Linked DNA regions of Schizosaccharomyces pombe. The gene in region 2 interacts genetically with the main gene of each other region. Each region holds a gene or a part of one and is shown on either strand. Other genes may lie near its edges.

Region 1 (3,338 bases), on a different chromosome or scaffold from region 2:
TTGGCCCAAGTAGAATCCATTAGGCCAATCGTACACAAGCATTCGATGAATAATGCTGCGTTTGAGCATGCTCTTTGGAACATTTTTATAAAATGCTTCGGGATTCCACTCTTCATCGTCCAACATATCTTCTAAATTGATGTCTTTGGCATTTGGTGGGTATGTTTGCTTCTGAATCCATTCTACACACAATTTTACTAAGAAATCCCTAGGAAATCGATTTAATAGCTTCTGGATCTTCTTGTCATGCTTGATTCGAATATTACTAGACAATTCAGTACGCATAGCGGTCCTCCTTTTTGAATATCTTATGTTTACGACAAGGAGCCACAATATATCAATCGTTACCGTGGACTAATTTTTTATCCTCTCAAACACTGATCACTAACGAAGGATTTCAGATATATTTGTTTTGTTAAATATTAATGTTACAAAAGAATGGTCTTTGAGATCATTTGGCAGCACCAGCTGTAAGCAAATTTAACTCTTCCCAAGTTCTTCTAAGGCAATGGTTTGGATGGTGGTGAAGGGAGTCCTTGCCCAGATTGCAGAAGTCTTGCTGTTTTCTCGGCAGCTGCTCTATTAGCATGATATCGAATTCGCATTTGGAAAATATCTCGATGAAGATTATAGTGTTTGGATTGGGTCTGTGTTGAACATTCTTTAGAAGATGAGGAGGAGGAGTTGATAGATTCATTCTCGGCAGACGCCGAATCTACATCTTTCTCCTTCTCTGTCTGCTGCACTTCTAAATTTGGTTCCTGTTTTGATTCTTGTGGATTACCGGTCGCATCCTTCTCTACGTTTTTTGACTCATCCTTAGCTTCTAGTTTGTTGGTGTCGATTTTGTTAGTCACTGATTTAATCACGGAAATTGGTGTAGCAAAACCTCGATCTTGCAAATGATTGTAGCAAACATAAAAACTATTTTTATTTTGTTGGTTAAAAAAACTTTTTCCTTCCCATTAAATTATGTATCAACTCAAACCATGAAGGTTTTCACAATGATTACTTACAAATCTAATTTAGTTTTTGTTATTAATACCCATTTTGTAGGCTTGTAACACTAGAAACGATAATAGTGTATTAGAAAATGGTGCTTCATCAAGGTAATGGGCAATTTTTAATTGCTGTTGTTTCTTACAATAAAGCATGGTTTTTTATCTACTTCTGAAACTTGTCTCAATGTATAGAAATTTTCAAATTTATTGGACATCGGCATTTTCTTCAACATTACTACTTTATATTTGAGGTAAAGAAGAGAGAAGGGGTGAATCGCCTGAATTACACTCACACATCAATTTATCTAATAGACGGTTCAAGCACCACAGAATACTTAATTTATTTAATTTATAACTAAAATAAAAATAAAATACTCAATCTATTTTATTGATTTTTTTTGCAATTGCCCAAACATTGTATAGACAACTAAGCAACATGTTGACTTTTTTTGCTCAGATCAAAAAAAATAAATAAATAAATAAAGGCTTTAGTGCAACGTACACCCACATATACATATTCAATTAAAAGGCATGTTAACAAAACTTCTTATTGAAAACCTTCCTCGGACAATGAATACAACTCGTAAAGTCTATTCAGCCTATTGTAAAGGGAAGGTAAAATAAAACACTGGAAGCAATTCCAAAATTTTCTATTGATCAACTTGTTTGTTCATAAAAATTGTAGCAAGTAAAAGGTGGAAACCTAAAGATGGAAAACATTGCAAAAATCAGTGATTTAGAAATGAAACGCATAAGTAATGACAATACAAAGATAAATAAATATTTAGAAATGATAAAGAAAAGGGACAAATTCTTATCAACAATGGAAAAATGAAAAAAAAAAAGGAAAAACGAGTGACCGGATAAACCAGCAATGTACAGCAACAGCATAAGTGGAATCTTATACCCAGATACCTTTATCTAAAAGGAATAGCAAGTTAAAAAATAAGCAACATTGTGCAAGAAAATAACCAGCAAGCAACATAATAATAATAAGGAACCGAGAACCAAACACATATAATAATAATAATAAAAGACGAGCCTCCATAAATAACACACAAACATCCGTTCATACCTCATCTCTCACGACTATATGAGGATGCAAATGAACATCTAAAGATTTACAATGACAAAACTTGACTCAAAAAAATAACCATCTGAACAATCCGATAAAACTTGTATGCTTGAAACACGGAAATAGCGGCAAAAAATGGATGAAAAAAGCAATGCGATGCAATTCGATGATGAAGCAAAAAATAAATCAGACATCCAAACTTCACTTCAAAGCAAGTTGCATTTTGGGAGACAGAGGAAATTAATGAATCTCAATGGATTGTTGTGTATGTTGTATAGCTGCGGTTTCCGGTCTCGGTACGATTGAGGGTGGTCTCTGAAGTATCGAGGTTGGAAGAACAGAAGTACTAGCGGTCTTTACCTTTATTAATGATGGCCTACGAACTGGTGAGGAGTTGGGCTGTGAATCGAGCTTTGGATTTGGTTCCGAATTGGGATGTGTGAGCGGCAAAGATTCCGACCTTGATTGAGGTTGCGAACTGGGCATAGAAGCTGGCAAAGAATGCGGTTGGGCCGAATCAGAAGTAACAGCGCTTAGCGTAGGTAGCTCTAACAACTCTTCCGTCTTGCATATTTTAGAAAAGATCTTTTTATCTTTTTCAGGATCGGTATGCGTTTCTGAAGGCTTGGGTACCTTGGAGCCATAAGCAGCAAGTAAAGAAGTAATGACCTCCATTAGTGCCTTGCGAAGACGCACACTATCGACAACAGAATGGTCCAAGTTCATGTCCACTTTGGGTACATAAGGCTTTTGCAATAGACGATACATGAGGATACGAGTATTCTCGCAAACATGAAGGCCGCAATCACAATCATTAATTTGTTGTGGAGTCTTCATGTGTCGGACACGGAATTCCTTTTTAAGGAGAATGCCAAGGTTTTTGATGGCAAGGTTGCAGTCATTGGTATTACCATTGGACATGGAGTCATAGTACCAGCCCAAACCTTTTTCAACGGAGACGACTAACAAACTCCAATGCGAGCCGCTCTCGATACCACACTCATTGGTATCGTTGATAGGAAGAAAGATAAACGATGCATCAAACATGGCAGGAGGTAAGGCAGACTCGATTTCCAAAGGATTAGGAGCCTGGGCCAAAAAGAAGACCATAGCAGGACGAAGCAAGTATATTTGTTGACTCTCCTCCTTGGGACGTTTGAGCAAGACTTGACGCAACATAATTTCGTAAAAGAAATCGATGTTTGTATCAAGGATCCAATACCCAGGACGAAAGTGGTCGACGTCGTTTTTGCGAAGGGAAA
Region 2 (3,549 bases):
GGAGATGGCCGCAAAGGACAACTTGGACCGGTAGTTATGAAAACAGTTAACAAGGTTTCATTTCTCGGGCGTATTGAACATGCTCAAGCTGTTGTATGTGGTGTACAGTTCAGTGCAGTATTGCAAGAAACAGGACATGTAATTGTTTTAGGAGGGGAGAAGTGGAATGTAGCAGCAGAATGTGATGCTTGGCAAGCAAATAACAGTGAATTGTCTTCTTCCATCTGCTCTATATCAGCAAACTGGTCTACCTTGAGTCTATTAAGTACTGAAGGCTGTGTCTATGCTTTTGGTCGTTGTGATCGTGCTCAGAAGGCCCATACAAAAGCAAGTGATATCGTCCAAATCGCCAGTGGAACTGAGCACAATATTTTAAGGACAAAGAAAGGAAGTGTTTTAATATACGGTTGGAATGAGCATGGAAATGCCTCGAATGATGATAAAAGAGATGTTTATGATGCAAAAACTCTTCAATTACCAGGCTGGGCCTATATTGTGGCCGCTGGATATGCAACGAGTTGGATAGTGATTGAAGAAAATCACAAATAATGAATTGAGTAACTAAAATTTAATTTTATTTTCTACCGAAATGTCGAAGCTTTAATAACATTTGACGACATTTAAAAAAATGTAGTTTAGTAAGCTAAAAATCAAGCAATTGCTAAGAGACAATTGTCTATAAAAAGAAACTAGAACAAAGATTAACTTCCATTTAGTTTTAATTGAAGCGCGACATGTGATGCAGAGATGAAGGGGCAACAGGCAACGAAAGAAAAAAAATAAACATATAAGGACGGCAAAGCGCTATTTGGCATTAATCTCTTTATCGGAGGATCAAATGCAAAAACGCTTTCATAAGTTAATAAAATAAATACAAAGCATAACATCTTAAGAATCAGCTCCAAAAAAACGAGCTAAAGCAAGGGCAAAAAACACCAAAACTGCTATGCTCCAGCGACTTTTAACCCAGCTTTGCTTTGAATTAAACGGTTCATTCTTCTTGCATTCATTGGAAGATACAGGAGTGGAGTGAATTTGTTGGGGTTCGATTAGGGCCGCTTCAGCAGCTGCTTTGGCAATGTCTTCCCTATTTTTGTCAATTAACTCGGGGAACATTATTAAGAATTTAGGATTATCCATAATGTTAAATCTCTTCGTATCCTTTGCGTAAGTTCTCCTGGTAGACTCCGAAGTTACAATACCTCCAGTGGTAATCTCATCAGAAGTCATGAAAGAAACGAGTCCCACCAGAATAGTAGAAACCATCCATGAGGGATTCCAGGATTTTGGATGGAAGTCAGAAAAAGAAAGACAAAGTCTGGTATTCGTTTGGAAACGTCCGCTTGGAGTAATCATGCGAATTGCAGGTGGCTTAAAAGGATAATCGGGAGGAAAAATCAATGTCCCTGTACGCAAAGTTAGCAAAGGATGGCAACAGCCAAAAGTTCATGCACATATTGATTACAGAAGGAAATTTAAAAGAAACATACCATGATATTGTCCTCCTTCATATGGAGTGTCCGGAGGGCCAGTGATAATATAATGCCATTCCAAAATGTTTTCAGTTGCAGGTTTAGCGTCAACAAGCTCAACAGGGTTTTTCTGAAGAGCTAGATATTCTTTCATTAACTAAAATAATTAGAAGAAGCTTAAAATTATAAATCCATACCCGTTTATAAGCACCTTTCGACGCCATCGTTGTGTTTGTGAAGTTTGTGGAAGTGAGAAAACATGTAACCATATAATCCGCTCACAGTTACATTACCAGGTTAGCGGCTAGTTAGGTGATTCTTGTCTTTTACAAATTCAAAGCACAATCTCTACTAGACTAAGTGTCTTTGTAGGTTAATCAATATAAAACACCAACAAACTCCGAGGTGAGGTGCCAACTTCAAGTACAACGGTTTATTCAAATCACCAATTCGTAAATATAACACAGTTACTTGTAAAAGAGGTTTTCATTTCTATCTTTTGTAGCAATATACCTATGATATTTATGATATTTTATTTTCTCTATACGCAGCTTAAGCCCAAATGTAAAATATAAATATTGTTAACCTATGTACATTGAGGAAGTAAGATCGAGAAAATAGATTAAAAAATGCTTTGAAGCAAGGAAAGCCTTTAACTTATCTTTGTTTTACTTATTGTAGGTCTAACATTTATATTTCTCTTGCCTTCTCAATATACCTGATAATTTTGCTCATTATTCAATAAGAAACAATTTGGATGACTAACATGAGAAAAGGAACAAGCGAGGTAATCTATTCATATATTTCTTTCGCATTCTTTAGAAAGACCGTAAAGGCGATCCAGCAAATTCGGTTTTCTAGAAACATCAGTTTTCACTGTCCGGATATGCCGATATCGGGAAAATTAATGTCGGTCCTAAGTTTATGAATTTATCGAAACATAGTAGAAGCGGAAATTACTTCGTAATAGCAATTTAATGGATATTTTTTCCACAATTTATGCACTTTGCCATGCAACGAACAAAGCCAACTAGTATACCAAGTCAAGAAATCATGAGTACAGCAAAGTATCTAAGTGTTATCCTATTTAGTTTACAGTGACCAATAAAAATTGTATCGTGATATTCAGATAAAAAGATAATTGTCATCTATTTTCAGCTTCATTTTGATTTAGGCTCACTTATCGCGATAATTGCAATCTTTTGAAAACACACGTTCATTAATGTAATATCAGATTTAAAGTATGAAGTAGTGGCATTAACAAAGCAGCACAAAGTCAACTTTCCGTGATATAGGCTAAGGGCAAGTTAGAAATGTCAGGAAATTTTGCATTTTTGTGGTTTTTTCGTTGGGCTCAATCTAATCGTAATTGGGAGGATGTCGTCATCGATGATCACTACTTAAAAGCAGCCTCCATGGCACTCAACGTACTTTGAATCTCCATATTACCAGTTGAAACAAAAGTAATGAGCAACCAAGTTATTGTAACGAACATCTCTCCTGAAGTTACTGAGAAACAAATCTCAGACTTCTTTTCTTTCTGCGGTAAAGTGTCCAACATCTCTACCGAGAAATCTGGAGAAACCCAAACCGCGAAAATCCAATTTGAACGCCCTAGCGCCACCAAGACGGCCTTACTTTTGCAAGATGCTCTCCTTGGACAAAACAAAATCCAAATCACCAGTGAAGATGGTGGTGCTGCTTCTACTACCGATCAAGGAGGTGCTGGAGGCGATCAAGCCGCTCGTCAAGAAGACAAGCCTCGTTCAGCTATAATCTCTGAACTTTTAAGTCGCGGATATCATTTGAGCGATGTAACTTTGGAAAAGAGTATTCAACTAGACCAAAGCTATGGCGTTTCTTCAAAATTCAAGGGGATCCTCGAGTCTGCTTTGTCTGGCGTTCGTTCTGTTAACGAACGTTATCATGTCACCGAAAAGGCCAATGAGGTTGATAATAAATTTGCCATTTCTGACAAATTGAACCGCACCTCTTCTTTGGTTAGCACATATTTCCACAAAGCTCTTGAAACTGCTGCTGGCACTTCTGCCGGACAAAAGGTTCAAAATGCCTATGA

The links. A genetic interaction does not mean that the proteins touch.
Region 1: mutations in ubc6 (region 2) and SPOM_SPBC32H8.01C together harm fitness less than expected from each alone (positive genetic interaction), as found in Schizosaccharomyces pombe (one large-scale study listed by BioGRID).

The regions. Positions count from the first base shown.
Region 1 is NC_003423.3:1,449,871-1,453,208, forward strand, and holds SPOM_SPBC32H8.01C (uncharacterized protein), read right to left. Parts: upstream 1,255-3,338; 5' UTR 1,235-1,254; coding exon 1,145-1,234; intron 1,067-1,144; coding exon 1,017-1,066; exon of another isoform or gene 925-1,016; coding exon 501-924; downstream 1-500. Other genes in the region: kinetochore protein Mis15 , read right to left, coding at 1-285; NEDD8 protease Nep2, read right to left, coding at 2,317-3,338.
Region 2 is NC_003424.3:1,214,233-1,217,781, forward strand, and holds ubc6 (ubiquitin conjugating enzyme Ubc6), read right to left. Parts: upstream 1,717-3,549; 5' UTR 1,697-1,716; coding exon 1,670-1,696; exon of another isoform or gene 1,630-1,669; coding exon 1,491-1,629; exon of another isoform or gene 1,407-1,490; coding exon 889-1,406; 3' UTR 556-888; downstream 1-555. Other genes in the region: RCC domain-containing protein Ats1, read left to right, coding at 1-549; RNA-binding protein Vip1, read left to right, coding at 2,939-3,549. UniProt on the Schizosaccharomyces pombe protein: Catalyzes the covalent attachment of ubiquitin to other proteins. Functions in degradation of misfolded or regulated proteins localized in the endoplasmic reticulum (ER) lumen or membrane via the ubiquitin-proteasome system.